Linked DNA regions of Ovis aries. The protein of the gene in region 4 purifies or fractionates together with the protein of the main gene of each other region. This does not show direct contact. Links are inferred from orthologs where the notes say so. Each region holds a gene or a part of one and is shown on either strand. Other genes may lie near its edges.

The links.
Region 1: the proteins of HSCB (region 4) and SDHB purify together in Homo sapiens (co-immunoprecipitation; 3 studies listed by BioGRID and IntAct, with this or other methods). This does not show direct contact. The link is inferred for Ovis aries from reciprocal best matches to the Homo sapiens genes HSCB and SDHB.
Region 2: the proteins of HSCB (region 4) and SDHAF1 purify together in Homo sapiens (co-immunoprecipitation; 3 studies listed by BioGRID and IntAct, with this or other methods). This does not show direct contact. The link is inferred for Ovis aries from reciprocal best matches to the Homo sapiens genes HSCB and SDHAF1.
Region 3: the proteins of HSCB (region 4) and ISCU purify together in Homo sapiens (affinity purification with western blotting; 3 studies listed by BioGRID and IntAct, with this or other methods). This does not show direct contact. The link is inferred for Ovis aries from reciprocal best matches to the Homo sapiens genes HSCB and ISCU.
Region 5: the proteins of HSCB (region 4) and SUCLG2 purify together in Homo sapiens (affinity purification with mass spectrometry; 3 studies listed by BioGRID and IntAct, with this or other methods). This does not show direct contact. The link is inferred for Ovis aries from reciprocal best matches to the Homo sapiens genes HSCB and SUCLG2.

What each region holds. Positions count from the first base shown.
Region 1 is NC_056055.1:249,242,732-249,245,187, forward strand, and holds part of SDHB (succinate dehydrogenase [ubiquinone] iron-sulfur subunit, mitochondrial), read left to right. Parts: intron 1-477; coding exon 478-579; intron 580-1,868; coding exon 1,869-1,991; intron 1,992-2,456. UniProt on the Homo sapiens protein: Iron-sulfur protein (IP) subunit of the succinate dehydrogenase complex (mitochondrial respiratory chain complex II), responsible for transferring electrons from succinate to ubiquinone (coenzyme Q).
Region 2 is NC_056067.1:45,972,973-45,975,811, reverse strand, and holds SDHAF1 (succinate dehydrogenase assembly factor 1, mitochondrial), read right to left. Parts: upstream 1,602-2,839; 5' UTR 1,508-1,601; coding exon 1,151-1,507; 3' UTR 517-1,150; downstream 1-516.
Region 3 is NC_056070.1:64,528,490-64,532,569, forward strand, and holds the start of ISCU (iron-sulfur cluster assembly enzyme ISCU), read right to left. Parts: upstream 2,806-4,080; 5' UTR 2,795-2,805; coding exon 2,681-2,794; intron 1,224-2,680; coding exon 1,110-1,223; intron 310-1,109; coding exon 199-309; intron 1-198.
Region 4 is NC_056070.1:68,186,124-68,190,309, forward strand, and holds the start of HSCB (iron-sulfur cluster co-chaperone protein HscB), read left to right. Parts: upstream 1-1,382; 5' UTR 1,383-1,420; coding exon 1,421-1,656; intron 1,657-3,694; coding exon 3,695-3,791; intron 3,792-4,186.
Region 5 is NC_056072.1:33,943,487-33,947,699, reverse strand, and holds the start of SUCLG2 (succinate--CoA ligase [GDP-forming] subunit beta, mitochondrial), read right to left. Parts: upstream 2,801-4,213; coding exon 2,480-2,800; intron 2,472-2,479; exon of another isoform or gene 1-2,471. UniProt on the Homo sapiens protein: GTP-specific succinyl-CoA synthetase functions in the citric acid cycle (TCA), coupling the hydrolysis of succinyl-CoA to the synthesis of GTP and thus represents the only step of substrate-level phosphorylation in the TCA.

The DNA.
Region 1 (2,456 bases), on a different chromosome or scaffold from region 4:
GGGGGCTTTTTAATTTCTGCTAGACTGCATTTGAGGTGGTAAGTTCTTTTCATGTGTGTGGGTTTTTTTTTTTTTTTTTTTTTAAGATAAGTAAGGGGTTATTTTGGAGAAGGCAATGGCAATCCACTCCAGTACTCTTGCCTGGAAAATCTCATGGGTGGAGGAGCCTGGTAGGCTGCCGTCCATGGGGTCGTGAGGAGTCGAACACGACTGAAGTGACTTAGCAGCAGCAAGGGGTTATTTGTTAAAGGATAAGTACGTCTGGACTTAAGAACTTTGGGCTCTGACCCAGCACATGTCTGAAGATCAGTTCCAAGATCTTTTTATGAACCTGGTGAATCTCTGCAGCCACTGCTGGGATTTCGCCAGAAACGCAGCAAAGCTTAGTGCGCTTTGTCCCACACGTTACGCTGGGTCAGCTCAGGGCACAGCTGCCTCCTGCGCGATGGGCTCCTGACCCCCTTTCCCCCCCCACAGGATGGGCTCTATGAGTGCATTCTCTGCGCCTGCTGCAGCACCAGCTGCCCAAGCTACTGGTGGAACGGAGACAAGTACCTGGGCCCCGCGGTCCTCATGCAGGTGAGGCGCCTTCGATATCGGGAGGGAAGCCGAGACGGGCTTGCAGGACTCCAGGAGGACAGTGTGCTGGAAACTCGCTGTTCTGAGGGGTGGTGTCCTTCCCTGGCACCCGCGACAAACGGGGTAATGGGTCACATCGCCTTCACTTGGCTTCGGGAAGTCTTGGGGCTCCATCTGCAGAACGCCTCCGTTTAGTGTGGCAAGGGCCACACCAGGGGCTGGTGGCTGCAGGTTGGCAGGCCGTGCCGTGCGGATGTTCAAGACATTTTCCTGTGTAGCTGGCTCTTCGCTGCCCACTTGCCCGCTTTCCCTGACTCCATCTGTCAGAAAGCTCCCCACCTCCCTTCCAGGGATTTTCAACATGCAGGCAGGGCAGAGAAAAATTTCACTGAGGGGCAGTTAACGGTGAAATGTTGGAGATTGTTTCCCGGCTAATGAAAGCCTGCAGTGCAGGCTTGAGAGGTTGCTTAGAAAGAAAGGCGTGCTGCTTTCCATAGCCTCTGACTGGGTGTGTAGTTCACAGCCGAGAGTCACTGTCTTTGTTCCCAGAAAGCTCATACTTATATTTGTGGTCAGCGCTTTTCATAAAGCCTTAAGCAACTCAAAAAACAACTTCTTGTTTTCATTTTCCCACAAAAAGAGAAGTTCTGTGGTTCTGCGACCAGTTAGCAGTACTGATGTTGGCCAAGTTAAAGACTGAATAGTGAGGTGTGTTCATAGTTGGCACTTACACCGGCGTCTGCGTTGTTGGGAAGCGTAGAGGGCCTCCCGGCCACACTGCTGGAGCAAGCCTGCTGCTCAGGAGCTGAGTCCGTGTTCAGCTGGCTGAGCTCAGGCTTCCTAGATGGCCATGCTCATTAAGAGAATCAATAAGTAGATTGAACGTTAAGTCCTCTGTTTACTCAGAGACGGTGAGTAGGTGCTGGGGAGGCAGTTAAGAGAGAGTCAAGCCCAGCATGCCTGCCTTTGCTCTTTGGTGATCTAGGGAGGAGGCTAATGAGGGCGTGAGATCAGTAGTTGAAGACACGACGCCCTTGGTGTATAATTAGGCACCAGGGACCAGGTGCTGTGGCTCAGAGGTTCGTGGGGACCATTGGTCGAGGTGATCGGAAGATGTTATGAAAGGGTGGGAAGCCTTTCTCTGAAAGGGGACAAGAAATAAAGGGTGTGGAGACGATCTCTAAGCTGGGTGGGCGCGGCGCTCTGCACCCCAGGAGCCTTGCGGTCAGTCAGAGGGCTGCTGCGGCCAGTTAGGGCTCGGCTCGGCTCACCAGGGCCCGCTCCCCCAGGCCTATCGCTGGATGATCGACTCCAGAGACGACTTCACGGAGGAGCGCCTGGCCAAGCTGCAGGACCCCTTCTCTCTCTACCGCTGCCACACCATCATGAACTGCACGCGGACCTGCCCCAAGGTACCCGCCACGTGGGCCCGGGGGCAGAGCGCGCGGCCGCCTCAGCGTGGGCCCGGGGGTGTGGGCGCGAGGCTGGTCCCGTGGGCTCCGACGCGGGTTCCTGCCCTCGGATCCGCTGGGCTCGCTCTGGCTGCAGGAACACGGGACGGAAGCATCCGAGCACAGGCGGCCGTGCGGGCTGCGGTCCCGCTGGCCCGAGGGCTGCGCCCGCCGCACTCCCCCGCAGCAGGCCCGCGCTCCGTGTGTCTGTCCGCGGCCTCGGAGCTCCGCTTAGCTTTCACTCCCTCTCTCTGCTCCTGCTCCTGGGCTCGCCCTGCCGCAGCCTCAGCAGCTGCCTGGCTCCTCATTTCTCGGCTTGCGTTCCCTGGAGGGAGGCTCGTGGCCCAGCTCAGCTCTCCTGGCACAGCCCACGTCAGAGTCGGCCAGCAGCTGTGGTCCGGCCCGTGGGCGGGGAGCCACCAGGGC
Region 2 (2,839 bases), on a different chromosome or scaffold from region 4:
TTGAGCTCTGAGTTCCTTTCCTGAGGTCCTCCTCCTCTCAACTGCTTTTAATGGGTGCAAATACAGCTGAGGGCTACAAAACGCAGCACCTCAGGGAATGTCTAGGGCACGTCCCTGTGGGGGCATGCGAAGAGCTATGTCTGTGGCCTATGGGTCCACCTCTCCTTTCCCACCCCTAGGCCTTGCTAACAGTTCCAGCTTGTAGCTGAGGCTGGACTCCTTAGCAAGGTTTGAGGGTCCCACTACTACTGCAGGGATTACCAGCCAGGCCTCCTCAGCCCCACCATTCCTCTTCCGCCTCACTACCCCCCATTAAGGGGTCAACAGGGGCTTCCTTGGGGGTCAAACCAGGGTGGCTTCCCTCCATGGATCTGCCCAGGAGAAAGAACTATGCTGCTCCAACCAATCTGCCATTCTAGAGGGTTCCCCACACCCATCCCTTGCCAGAGGGTCACTTCTTGATAACCCCCAAAATCCCCCAAACACATCAAATCTTTACCACCACCAACAGGGAAGTAAGCACACCCCCATTTTATTGCCTTTTTGTCCAACAGTCCTGAGCAGGGAAAGGGGCAGGAATCGGGGTGGAGAGGGGGAGGTTTCACCCTCAGAACCATCATGCAGAGGTCTTAAGGCGGTCTTTAACTGATTAGCGGGGTGAGAAACCCCTTACCCCCTTCCTCACCAATCCCAGTTGGTCTCAGTGGAGTAAAGATTTTTCTGAGGGGGTTTCCAGGCTTCTCACCAGTCCATCAGGGCATCGTCCCAAACTCCTCCTCATCTGCTCTTCTCAGAGTTAAGTACAGGAGAGAGGAGTCTCTTTGAGGAGCCGCCAGTGGTATTTCTCAGGGTTCTAGACAAGGGCGTGTCAAGTCTCTTTCCGTCCAACAGCGGGGCGTCTTGGCTCCCCAGGCCTTAGGGTAAGCAGCTTTTAGTTTGACAGCCCGCCCCAAGCCTCATTGGTTAAGTCTGACCCGGTACCATACAGCAAGTAAAGCCGGGCATTTCTCGCCATCGCACCCCACGTCCCAGGAGAGCTCTTCAACTACCTCAATCTGTCGATCTAGTTTCTCAAGACCTCTCACTTTCCATCGGGGGGCTCCCCCGGTCCTCCAGTCCCCCTGAGCCATCGGCAGAGCCCTTCAGCCGGTCACCGTCCATCCAGCGGGGTCTTCGGTGTCCTTATGCTGTCTAGCGGTCTCCTCCGGTCGTCACCTTCATTGGACAGGGTCCCTGGGGCCCCCGCGCCGTTGGACTCCTCGGTCGGGTCCTGCGTACGGACGAAGGCACCCATGGCCGTGGCGTGGCCCGAGCGTAGCATCTGGAGCTGGCGCCGACCGCGGCGGTACAGGTACTCAATGCGAAGTACGTCTGAGCGTGGCAGGCAGGCGTGCTGCCGGAATTCAGCCCGCACCCGTGCCTCGGCGCCCGGCTTCCCGCGCCCGGCGCGCAACAGCTCGCGGTACAGGCTCAGAACTTGCCTCTGCAACCGGCTGTGCCGGCTCATGGCAGCAGCTGGGCCGCGGGGCACGGAGCGGCGCACGGGAACAGGCGGCAGAAGCGGTGAAACACCGCCACAGGCACTTCCGCCTCCCGCTCCCAGCTTTGCGGCGCCGTCGCGCCTCATAGGTCGTCGCTGCTGCTACGTCACAATGTTGTGAGTAAGGGGCGGAGCTAATGGTTCACTGGCCCGCCCCACTGGACATCAGTGTCCTTGAGAGGACGGTACTCCTGAGGGCCTGGAGGAGGAGGACGCTAGACGCTGAGACTCTTAGGTTTGGGGTCGGAAGAGACCAGGGGATCCTGACCTGACTCTTGGGTCCTGCGAGTGGAGAGAGCTAGAGGTTAGGGTCCTTGTGTTCCCCAGAGCGCTGGGGGCACGGGGAGAGAGAAGACGGGCACACACGTGGGTTTATCCTCATTTATTAAAGCAACCATAGGAAGCTCCGTGAGTCCCCACTCCCAGAGCAAGTGTACATCGAAGGCCCCAACCCCTGGGGAGAGGAATACCCGGTAAAGTGTTGGGTCACAGCCGGCAGAACAAGCCTCTCGGTGCTGAGAATATACCGTGGGCTATAAGCCCCCAAACGCAGCCTGTTTGGGCCGGTAGCGCTCTCTGCCGACGTGAGTCGGATCTGAGGGTAGGAGAGGGAGGGGCCTCCCTAGCTGTTGAAGCGGAGTCCAGCCCACAAGGAACTCTTCGACTATGTTGGCACTCCGCAGACCTGCAGGCAGTATCAGGTAGTCAGCTGCAATTCCGTTATAGTTCCCGCAGGCTATTCGGAGGCGTCCTCGTAGCGCTGGGAGGCCCGCAAGGCCACGACCCGCTCAGCACCCTACCAGCACCTACCAGCACCTACCGGCACCCGGAGCGTGGGGAACCAGGCAACGATAACCCGGGACCCCTCCGCCCAGCGTGCGACCACGCCCCCGCACATCTGGTCATGGGTTCTTCCGCAGGAGGCTAGGCTAGTCAGGGGCTGAGGAGAGGGCCTGAGTCTGGGAGTCGATCAGTTCAGTTCAGTTCAGTTGCTCAGTCGTCTCCTCTCACCTCATGGACGCCAGGCTTCCCTGTCCCTCACCAACTCCCAGAGCTTGCTCAAACTCATGTCCATCGAGTAGGTGATGCTATTCAACCATCTCATCCTCTGTCCTCCCCGTCTCCTCCTGCCTTCAATCTTTCCCAGCATCAGGGTTTTTTCTAATGAGTCAGTTGTTCGCATCAGGTGGCCAAAGTATTGGAGTTTCAGCTTCAGCATCAGTCCTTCCAATGAATATTCAGGACTGATTTCCTTTAGGATTGACTGGTTTGATTTCCTTGCAATCCAAGGGACTCTCA
Region 3 (4,080 bases), about 3.7 Mb from region 4:
ACTAAAAAAACACTTAAGACTATCCATAATTCCCAATGTGGAGAAGAGTTTGATAAAAGTCTGGGTAAGCAAAATTAAGAAAGAAAATCCTTGGAATATTTAGAAAAAAATTATAGTGTGTGTTTGTTTAAAACCTTCCCTTAACCAAGAGGCAGGTGTGTGGGGATATGACTTAATTCCAGTTTTCAAGAGCCTTACCGTCTTCCCCTTGACCCATTCGGTGGCTAATGAGCTGGAGGCGATGGCAGAGCCACAGCCGAATGTTTTAAACCTGGCGTCCACGATCCTCCCCTGTTCATCCACTTGAATCTGGAAAAGAGGCAGGAGTTAGCAGGGTTCTGGCACTGCCTGCAGAGCCCGGCACTTAGGGAGGCCCGCAGGGCATTTCCTAAGAGTTTTGTTCCTGCTTTCCATACTTAAAAGTTTGGGCGTTGATTATTGAGGCCCCTCTGTTTCAAAGAGTTCAGCAATGAAAAGTTGCAAGCAGGAACAACTATACAGAATTATACAGGCCTCGCTGGCAAAGATCAGCCACAAAGTGTGCCTCCTGCCCAGTCTCCTCCCACTCCCAAGCCTGACTTTTGGCTTCCCAGCTGCTGGGTCAGTGTGTGCCTTTAAGCACTGCCAGAGCTGGCAGTGAAGGTCACTGGCTGGTGCTTTCCCCTTTGACGTCAAACTGCATGCAGTGTGTTCCTCCCTGCCTTGCTTCTGTTCTCCAAGATACGCATGAAGCCGCCTGGCCAGCTTCCCACCACAGTGACGAAGGAGATGTGGAGAAAGCTATGGTTTACCAGAGTGCCGGGCGCTTCCACCGGGGCAGGCAGAGTTTGATTTGTGGCATTTCCCGTCCCTCTGGGGATAGCTAACTGATACAGTGAGTATGAACGTGAGATCTGTTTATTTTGTCAGAAGGGGTCAGCACAGTTTACCAGGAGGACTAGGATTCAGCCCCTGCTGGAATCATTTGTAACACTGACTTCTCCCACCTCACAGGAATCAAGATGGGGACCAGAGGAAATGCTGGACATGTAAATGCTCTGTCAACTACAGAACACCGTTCAAGCAAAGGGGTCACCGTTACCACCAGTAAAGATGGAAACCAGGGGTACCTGTAATTTCATGACATCACCACACGCTGGAGCCCCCACCAATCCAGTCCCAACATTTTTAGATGTCTTGTCAAGGGACCCCACGTTTCGGGGATTTTCATAATGATCCACAACCTGAAATGAGAGTGAAGAGAAATCACAGTCACTCTTTTTTGCTGTTCATCTCCCCGACTTTGATGGCAAGCTCCTTCAAGTCAGCAAGCTGGACCTGGCAGGCCATCACTAAATACCAAATTTCACTTGGGCAGGATTTAAGAGATATGGGGATCCTGGAGAAAAATCAGCAAAATCATGTCTTAATTCTGTGGGGTTTTGAACCACAACTAATTACTTGACCTCTAACCACCCAAGTCACAGAGTTGGGCTCAAACAGCACCTGTGTAATTTCGGAAGAAAATCCATTCTCAAAAGAATGATTACTATGCAAAAACCTACACGTCTGTATGGTCCCAGAAGCCTCATGGAGATTGTTACGGGAGGAACAAGGCTATGGAATACAGCCATTTGTGTGTGGTGATAAATAACCACCATGACTGTATTTCGGGGCCCTGAAATCTGCGGTGCCGCAGCGCGCTCTGGTGGCGGAAAGGCTGCGCGCGCCAGGTCATTCCGCGTGTACTGTCAACAATATACAGCCCTGGGTCCGCGGGGAGTGAGGTCTGTGCGCAAACGCGTGGAAGCCAGAACAGAGTAGACATCTATTCAAACTGGCACATGCGAGGCTTTAAAAACCTTGCGGTTTGTTTCCCAGTTAGTCGTTAAGTATTCCGAACTTCCAGTCCCCTTCCCCCGACCTATCCGACCACGGATTTTGACTTCCAAGTCCAAGGATCTGTAAGATAATATCCAGTTTCGACTTTCTGCCCCGGGGTTGATTTATCGCACTTTTTTTACTTAACCGGTTCCCAAGCGAGACACGTCTCATGTGGCTGCCAACTACCCAACCTGTCTTAACTCACAGCATCCCACCACCCCCAAACCAAACCAAAACAAACACAAAAACGTGACGACTGTTGGTTACACGTCCATGTCCACTCGGAGGCTCTGAGCTCCTGCAACAGTAACACCGACCCTCAGCGGCCTCCCTGTGCCAAGCGCCCTGCCCAGGACTCCGCAGGCAATGCACTCGCGTCCGGGGGCGCTGCCCAGACCCCATCTGACGAGCGCGGGGCAGTGACTCGCCCAAGGTCACTCGGCCGCTGTGTGTCCGGCTAGCCCGGACAGAGCAGGACCCTGCTTCCTGGGCAGCCGAGAGGCTTAAAGGCCGGATGGATGTTTCAGATTGAGGGCAGCTGCCGCTAGGCTAGCGGGAGCTGTCATTCCTGTTTCAGGCGCGGTTAGTCGCCCCAGCGCAGCGAGGGAAAGCCATTCGAGGCGGCCTCTTGAGAGGAAGGCCCCTCCATCCAGGGCTGGGGGCGGCCAGGGCCCTGGGCTGCAGTCGGGGTTCCAGGGCCGCGCAGAGCGGGGAGGGCCACTAGGCTGGGCTTCCGCTAGGACCCCTAAGTCCTCTGGGGGGTCCTCGCACTCCCGCCCGCCCCCCCGCCCGGTGCGGACCCCCGGGCCGCTCTTACCTTCTTGTGATAGAGCCGAGCGGGAGCTGAGAGCTCCCGGGCGGGCAGGCGCGGGGGCCGGAGCAACAGGGCCGACGCCGCCCGCCTCAGACGGCCCGCTCCAGCCGCCGCCATCTTGAGGGCTTGCGCCTGCGCAGGTGGAGCGCGCGGCCGAGGGGAGGGGCGCGTGCGCGAGTCGGCTCCCTGCTGGGAGCGCGCACCCTCTAAAGTACCGGCGACCTTGCGCCTGCGCCCTCCCGCTGCGTTCACGTGTCCCCGTTTTGTTCCCGCGGCGCGGAGCCTAAAGGTTTGAAATCGTTCGAGGGCTGGTCCACCGAGCTGGGTTCTGAATCTTGAGGATCCTTGAGCAGGAAATCAGGACCCAGCTTTGCGTTGACAAAGCCCCACCGCCTATTTCGGCGCAGAGGCTCAACCAGTCCACCCTTCTTGGCTCTATTTTGCAGCTTAGGAATTTGAGGATCAGAACGGTTTAGTAACTTGCCCTAGGTTGCCCAGAGGGGCCCAGTTGGGATTCTGACTTGAACAGTCCTGAGTTAGAATCCCATTTCTGCTCCTAACTGGCTGTGTGCTGCTAAGTGAAACATAGTGTCATTGTAAACCTCGATCTTTTTTGTACTAATTCAAGGACAGTTCTTCATCCATTGAGCAAATCTTGTGTTGAGTATCTACTTTTTGTCAGGGTGCTTTGGGAAAACAACCCAAGACGACACAATTAAGCTTGCTACTGAGGGAGCAAGGCAATAAATAGACCCACCAAGGCTTTTCTACCACTAAAGTGAGAAGCTTAACTAAAGGAAAGAATACTTTGCTCTGATTTTAAAAATTGTATATGTTTATGTCTCTATTAAAAAGCAAACTGGCACAGATTAAATCACAAGATATAGCAATGAAGAGATTCTAAGTAAATATTTATTAATGTAATTTATTGATACTGGTTTGCAGAATATGATCCTATAAAATCAAAACTCACGTGTATTTAAGTGCTAGGCGCCAGGCATTAGATAAAGAGAAGGAATCTCTGGGAAATGAGTTATTCTCATGAATGGTGCAATCGATCCTTCCCTGAGGACTTAAGACTTTTTTGCGCGTTTGAGGCTCAGTTGCTGGGGAGACTGACTCACGCGCCAGGTCAGACTAGGTGGTAAGATATTTATTCCAAGAATCATTTTTGACCTTCTCAAGATGGCGCCAAACCCTTAACTACAACCATCACGCTCACTCAGTGGCTGCCTCTATGGCTTCCACTTCCTGCCTAAGGACCCAACTGCTGTCCGACGTTGTGCCGAAACGCATGCCCTGTTGGTGAGCTTTTTTATTCGAACAAGAGCTACTGAAAGTATATAAAATAACATGAATCTCGTGTATTTCGAGATTTCCATGTCATCCGAGGCGCATAGTTT
Region 4 (4,186 bases):
CGAGGTGTGACCTCCTGTGTCTTTGGAGCAAAACTTGTCCGCCCTGAAAAGTGGCAAAAGACAGTGTGTCAAGAGGTAGCTGCTATCATCACACCTGATAAGAAGGGTCCACCACACCAGGACTACATGGGCCTCCCCCAGGTACAGTGGAGAGCTTATAAGCAAACACATTTGGAGTCAGCTAAGTCAGTTCTTCGCATGACCTTTAGGTAGATCACAACCACTCTGAACCCAAAAAGTAGACGGAAAATCAAATGAGATGCTGCAGCAACGTTCTTTCAACCTCACCCCCTCAGTAAAGCTTTATAATCGGACTCTCAGGCCCAAAGAATCTGAAAGCAGGGAAAGGCCTTACAAGTGCAACACAATTTATTTTTCCTCAAATAGAGAAACTGAGTCCCAAGGAAAACTGGTGGCCCCCCTCCCCTCCCTTTGCCACCCAATCCCCCACACTTCCTTACGGACACTCTCGAAGCATCTTCTTACACAAGTCAGTGTGCTGCTGCCAGTTCCAGCAGAGCCTATTGAGAATGGGTTCTCAATAGGCATTTTTCAGATTGAACCAAACTAGGATAATAATTGGGCTTCCCTGGTGGCTCAGACGGTAAAGCGTCTGCCTGCAATGCGGGAGACCCGGGTTCGATTCCTGGGTCGGGAAGATCCCCTGGAGAAAGATATGGCAATCCACTCCAGCACTCTTGCCTGGAAAATCCCATGGACGGAGGAGCCTGATAGGCTACAGTTCATGGGGTCGCAAAGAGTCGGACACGACTGAGCGACTTCACTTTCACTTTCATGAAAATAATTACTAACACCTTTAAAACAATCTGCAGAGCAGCTTGGCTCTGATTCTGAAGAGCACAACTTGGTTCTTTCTTATCCCGTACTTCTGGGCCAGTTTCTGCTTGTAAATAACAAGGGAAGTGAAATTCACCTCGAGGTTTGTCTACAAAGGAGGAAGAGAGTCGCCCACGCATTCCTCTCCCTCGCGCCTTCCCGAGCTCATACACAGGACAAGATGAAGGCTCGGGAGATTCAGCTCGCAATAACACCCTGAGGACAGGATTCGAACCCCTAAATACCCAAAAGAAGCTCCCCACTATGACTCACCGCGTGAGCCCCTCTGGAAGAGTACAACCCAGAGCAGCCGCAGCCAGCGGAGTGGCGCTAAACCCGCAGATACAAACTCCACCCTCCACCAATCAAAACACCCCTCCGCTCCCGCTGGACCAATGAGAAGCAGCGGATGTGGCTGCCCGCAGCTTCAATGCTTTCTGGGAGTTGTAGTTTAAGCTGCAGAGTGAGACTCAGAACCCAGGTTTCCCCCGGGTCGTCCCGCCCCCCGCCCAGTTCCCCAGCCAATCACTAGCACGAGTGTGGTCAGTCTCAGGTGACCTCGGCGAGGCAGGCTGCCGGCCCGATGTGGGCCGGAAGGACCGGGACCTTGCTCCGGCTGTCGGGGTGGTGGCCGACAGGGGTGCTCGGGAGAAGACTGCTAAACTGCAATGCTGCGTCCCTGGCAGGAAGCAGCTCCCCACGATGTTGGAACTGTGGCGGCGCAGGGGGCCCACCGCGGGGGGACCGGTTCTTCTGCCCTCAGTGCCGCGCGCTGCAGCCACCTGACCCGACTCGAGATTACTTCAGCCTCATGGACTGGTATGGAGGCCGTTTCCTGAAACGCGTCTGGACGTGCGAGAGTGGAGGGCGGGTCAGGCTAGGGGAGGAGGAAGGCTGGACCAGTCACACTGGTTGGCGGAGCCCTGGAGGACCGGACTGGGGGTGGAGCCTGGTCGAGAAGGGTGCGTGGGATGTGGCTGGGGAGGAAATTAAGGGGCTGGCCTGAGCGAGGACGCTTTAAGGGGGTGAAGACGAGAGTGAGTCTTGGAGTAGATAGGCGGGGAGTGGTTAGGGGAAACTGAAGTTTGAAGGCAGCCATGGAGGGGCGGGTTCTGAGAGAAGGCCAAGTTGAGAGGCGGGGCTTTGAGGGGAAGGTACTTGCGCGGCCCTAGGGCTTCCCTGGGGCTTCCCTGGGGCTTCCCTGGGGCTTCCCTGGGGCTTCCCTGGTGGCTCAAAGGGTAAAGCGTCTGCCTGCAATGCAGGAGACCTGGGTTCGATCCCTGGGTCAGGAAGATCCCCTGGAAAAGGAAATGGCAACCCACTCCAGTATTCTTGCCTGGAGAATCCCATGGACAGAGGAGCCTGGTGGGCTACAGTCCACAGGGTCGCAAAGAGTCGGACACGACTGAGCGAGTTCACTTCACTTCATTTCACTTCAGGGCTTCCCTGATAGCGATAGCTCAGGGTAAAGAATCTGCCTGCAATTCAGGAGACTCCGGTTCGATTCCTGGGTCGAAAAGATCTGCTGGAGATGGGATAAGCTACCCACTCCGGTATACTTGGGTTTCCCTGGTGGCTCAGCTGGTAAAGAATCCGCCTACAATACAGGAGACCTAGGTTCTACCCCTGGTTTAGGAAGATCCGTTAATTACAGGCTTCCCTTGTGGCTCAGCTAGTAAAGAATCTTCCTGCAATGCGGGAGACCTGAGTTGGATCCCTGGGCTAGGAAGATCCCCTGGGGAAGGGAAAAGCTACTCACTCCAGTATTCTGGCCTAGAGAATGCCATAGACTGTGTAGTCCATGGGGTCGAAATAGTTGGACACGACTGAGCGACTTTCTGGAGAAGGCAATGGCACCCCACCCCACTCCAGCACTCTTGCCTGGAAAATCCCATGGACGGAGGAGCCTGGTGGGCTGCAGTCCTTGGGGTCGCTAAGAGTCGGACACGACTGAGCGACTTCACTTTTCATGCATTGGAGAAAGCAATGGCAGCCCAATCCAGTGTTCTTGCCTGGAGAATCCCAAGGAAGGGGGAGCCTGGTGGGCTGCCGTCCTATGGAGTCGCACAGAGTCGGACACGAATGTAGAGACTTAGCAGCAGCAGCAGCAGAGCACCTTTCACTTTCACTTTGGAGCATAGAAGCTTGACGTTCAGAATGTTTAAAGTTGGCTTGAGATTTTTAAGAAAGAAGTACAGAAGTGGTATCCAAAATACGAGAGTAAGAGCATGGAAAAACTTAAGGCTGTGGGCAGAATCTAAGGGAAAAGTGAGAACTGGAGGGTCTGAGAAATAAGTGTTTTTCCTGTTTACCGTGGAAAGTCGAGAAGTTTGGAGAGGTGACAAATTTGGTCGAAGCTAAAGAGATAGTGCAGGCTCTGGGAATAAAAAGCGAAGGGGATTCATTTAAAATAAAGTAAGAGGCAGAAATGAAGGGACCTGGGCCTTAGAAAAATAGAGTGTGATTCTGGAATGCCCCTTAACTCTGGGCTCTGGCCCCACCAGTCACTGAGCACGTATGAAGGGTCGCAGTAACACTACCCTGTAAGTTGTTCAAGCATGCCAGTCTTGTTCTAACTTCAAGGTCTCTGTGTGTTCCCTGTGCCTGAATGTGTCTTTCCTCTGATCTCTGATTAATCCTCATCATCATTTAGGTCTCAGCTCAAATGTCATCTCTTTGTCCACTACATCTACCATTCTCTGACCCTATTCTGTTTTCCTTTACAGTACCTACCACTTTCTGGAATAGCTCTTGTCTACATGTTTGTTGTGTCCCCACTAAAAAGAGGAACCAGGCCCATGGTATACAGATCTATAAATATCTGATGCATGAGTTTCATCTCCTGATTTCCTTCCAGCAACCGCTCCTTCAGAGTTGACACTGTGAAGCTCCAGCATAGATACCAGCAACTACAGCGCCTTGTCCACCCAGATTTCTTCAGCCAGAGGTCTCAGGTAAGCCTATTGGCCATCCCTAATCATTCCCTGGATGAGGAAGCTCCCCTCTAGGAGGTCATGGCAACCCACTCCAGTATTCTTCCCTGGAAAATCCCAGGGACAGAGGAGCCTGGTGAGCAACAGTCCATAGGGGCGTGAAGAGTTGGACATGACTGAAGCGACTTTGCACAACAGACATAGCACAATCATACCCAAACACATATGCACCCTGGGTGCAGTGGCCTGTATTTATGAGATTACCGATTACCAGGGACAAAACTGGACAACCAGCTTTGCCCTGGGGCAGCCTGATTACAACCAACCAGGCCCTGGATCAGTCCCACACTCAGAGCTTTTACCTTACTTCCTAGCAGAATTAAAACCCATCGTCTGAAAATTAAAACAGCTTATCC
Region 5 (4,213 bases), on a different chromosome or scaffold from region 4:
CTGTGAAATGAGTTTTTTGGATCAGATGCTTGCTAATGCCCATTTCCAGTTCTTGAACACTGTGTACTATTCTTGCCTTAAAAAAAAAAAAAAAAGAATTCTCATCTCCTAAGTTTGTGTTCACAGGACAACACTTCATCTATAAGCACGTAAATCAAAGTTTTCAGATAGAGTGAGGCAGAAGATTCTTTTACCCAGTCTTCTTGCAAAACCAAGGGTATCCCCCACCCAGATTTTCTAAAGTGTTGTATTCAGGCTCCCATTTCTTGGTAAGGCAAGAAGCCCTATCATACTTCAGCTAAACACTTGGATTTTTCTATACAATTACTTCTTTTGCTTGAATTTTCATTGCCTTAGGCCTCATGTTGCTCATCAATTCAAGTCTACTCTCATAGTTAGCACCACAGTTCTTGGTTTTTTTCTAACATTTAATGAATGGAACTTGATCACCTGGAGGTATTCCCCTTACTCTATTACAACAGTTATTAGTGATTTTAATTAGACAAAAGCCACCATTCCCTTTGCTATCCTATCATATTGTCAAATGCCTGTTAAATATATTACAGTAATGTTATTAGCACCTTTTAAATTTGCATTAACACAAACACACAAATGAGAAGTCAGGAAAAGAAAAGAAGAAAAGAATAACTCAGATGTCATAATTTACCAAAGTTTAGAGTAACTCCAAAACTCATCAGTAGCTATCGTTCAATTAAAAAAAAAATACTATGCACATCCTAGATAAAACTGCAGGAATGATCATCATTTTAATTGTCTCTCATCAATTAAAAATGGGGAAAAGGACAAGGACAAGGCTGTGCTGTGGTCAAGCCCCATATTGTTTTCTTCAAAAGGGAAGAGATATTTCTAACAGAGAATGTAAAGTTGAGTACTTGAGTCATTTCTCCAAGAGTCATCACCAACTCATAACTCCCCAAAGGCCTTCTGGCTACTATGACTCTTGCCATCTACAGAAAGTAAAATCTCCTAAAGGCCAAGCTCTAATAGCTATTCAGTGTCCATCATTGGCCCTCCTAGGATTTTATTCTCTAGAAACAAGGAGAAAGAGGACAAGGTCAATACTCAAATGTGTTCCAATGATGGGACTGAATTTTCACTAAATTGAGGAAGGACGTTTCCCATCATTCTCCTTGACCCCCTCCTTTCACCATCTCAGCACCCCACACCCATACCCAACCCTGCCAGTCGGCAAGAGCAGGCAGCTCATTCCAGGAAGTGAGTTACTAAACCAGCAAGGCTGGGGTGGGTTTCTAGGTACCTTTATCACATGGCCTAACAAATGGGTTCAAAAGCAGGACTGGCGACTGAGGACAGGCAGCTACCTCAGAACAGGTAACTGAAGACAAGAAAAAAATGTTTCCCACCATTATAGTAAACAGTAATGTTGCCTACCATCAAATCAGTAGCCACTGCAATGGCCCCATACAGTGCACCCTGAGGGGAACTGGAGAAGGCAATGGCACCCCACTCCAGTACTCTTGCCTGGAAAATCCCATGGATGGAGGAGCCTGGTAGGCTGCAGTCCATGGGGTCGCGACTTCACACAACTGAGCGACTTCACTTTCACTTTTCACTTTCATGCATTGGAGAAGGAAATGGCAACCCACTTCAGTGTTCTTGCCTAGAGAATCCCAGGGATGGAGGAGCCTAGTCGGCTGCCATCTATGGGGTCCCACAGAGTTGGACACGACTGAAGTGACTTAGCAGCAGCAGCAGCAGATAACGTTAAGATGCATATCAAAGGAATATTTCAATATACCCAGACTCTTACAGCTTCCATATGGAGAAAAGCATCAAAATCACTAACTTGTCATTTCTACATTTTGTGATTAGTCTTAACCCTTTAAGCTTCCACAACAAGGTTTGTGTTTTGTTTGTTTTCCAGCAAAAACTCGTGTACATCCTGGCTCCTCCCCTACCTCTTTCCAACAATTCCTCAGAGCTATCCAGAAACTTCCTCAGGATACAGTCCTCAATAAATGCCTCAGAAAAAAAGTATTTCTCAACTTTTAGGTTGTGTTTTGGTGTTGTGTGTGTGTGTTGGCAACATGTGTTTTGGTTGTGTTTGTGTGTGTGTGTGTGTTGGCAACACAATAACACCTCAGGACCTCAAACCCCATTTCCAGGAACTTTTCCTGAAGTTGCCTGTGCAGCGCCTGGTGCAGGGCCCGGCGCCCTCCCGATGCTGAGGGAATCCACGGCAGCGAAAACTGGGAGTTGGGTGGCTCTCACTCTGAGGTGGTCCCGGCTGTCATTAACCCCTCAGCCCGAGACCCCCTTTCCACACATGAAGCAGAGGGTGCTGGGGTCCCTCGTGCGCCGCAGACGCAGCACCGCGCGTCCTCTCCACAGGTGTGGCGCCGCGGCGACCGCGCACCCGGTACCAGGAAGAGGAGGACAGAAGGGGACGGAAGGGGACCAACGGCTGCTCGAGGCCCCCACCAAGGGGTCCGCTCACCTGGGACCTGGCCGCCAGGAGCGGGGGCCGGAGCGCCAGGTCTCTCAGAAGTTTCCGGGCCTGCGCTCCCACGGGGGCCGCCATCTTATCCAGGAAGCCAGCGAGGGGATCCTGACGGGGTGCCGGCGGGGCGGGAGGGGGCTGGAAGAGGAAGGGAGGGGGAAGGGGCGGGGCCGCCCGCCGCCTACCGCCCGCCCCGCCCCCTCCGCCCGGCCGCGCCTGGTGACCCTGGGACGCGGCCGCACTCCTGAGGGAGCGCCTGTCGAAGCCCTGCGTCCCCCACGACGACCGCCACCTCGGCCCCAAATTCACTTTCAGCATTTGGAGCCTCCTCTTCGCGCTACCGCGGGTCACAGTGTGAGCGAAAACCCACCCCGAGCCCAGCGGTTGTGGACTTAAAGTGCCCTGGAGCGAGAGGCCAGTGCCTGTTGCCAGTTCCAGGGAGTGCTCTGAGGAGCGGCCAGTGTGGGATGCCAAGCGAGGGATAGGCCTCTGCTCTGGTCCTGGGGCCTCAGGGGCTCCTGTAGGGAAGCGGTGTTTGAGGTGAACCTTGAGGGAGTAAGGGAGAAGCAAGCGGGCCTGAAGAGGTCAGTGGAGGCCCTCTACCCTTTAGTGAGACTTTGTCTCTTTGTGAAGATTTAGACAAAGGTATTGAAGGATTTTAAACGTGTAGTCGCCCGAGTAAGACCAAGAGTTTACTTGGAGTTTATATAACTCTAAGCACTGTCTGTGGAATAAAAATAGCTAGCAAATATGCTTAATATATGGCAGGCACTTTACAAATAAGGACTCGTTTAGTGTTCATAGCAAGCTTTCCAGTAGGCACCAATGGAAAAAAAAATCCCCATTTTGCAGAAGAAAAAACTGAGACACAAGGAGGTTTCCTTGCTTATTGAGGGTCACAGATCTGATAAGGATGGAAAGTTTCAAACTCATGCTTTCTTCTCCCAACCCTATAAAGTGTCATTTTCGAATTTTTAACCTTACTTTATTCTTGAGCCTATGATCGTGAGAAAAGGTACAAATTTAACAGAACTGAGCAACTATTTCTGCTAGTTTTCTTTGAAAGTGAAAGTCACGCAGTTGTGTCCCACTCTTTGTAACCCCATGGACTGTACTGTCCATGGAAATCTCTAGGCCAGAATATTGGGATGGGTAGCCTTTCCCTTCTCCAAGGGATCTTCCCAACCCAGGAATCCAACTGGGGTCTCCTGCATTGCAGGCAGATTTTTACCAACTGAGCTATCCTTTTGTTTTTGACCCCCCCAAAAAAAAATCTACAGAAAAGTTGCAAGAATATTATCCCCAAACCCCCAAATATCCTTTATGCAGATTTATTGATAGCACTTGTTTACATTTTGCCTCAATCCCCATTTTTAATAGATATAGATATGTAGCTTTATAGCCGATTCTTAGTCATAGTTTTACTGGCTAAATTTCTTATCCATTGATGATTATTTCTTATATCAGTTTTTACTGTGATGGTTGTAAAATCATGATTGTCTAGTTCCATTCCTTTCTATATTTTCTATAGTTTATGTTCTACTCAGAAGAGCTTTATTGTCCCCCATGTTTGTTTATTCTTTTTTTTATTTTTTATTTTTTGTTCTGTTGGGTGTTGGTACACCTGAGATCTTAGTTGCGGCATACAAGATCTTTTCTTTGTGGAGGGCAGGCTCCAGATCTCATGGTCTTCCTGATTGGGGCCTATTTGCCCCGCTGGAAGGCGGATTC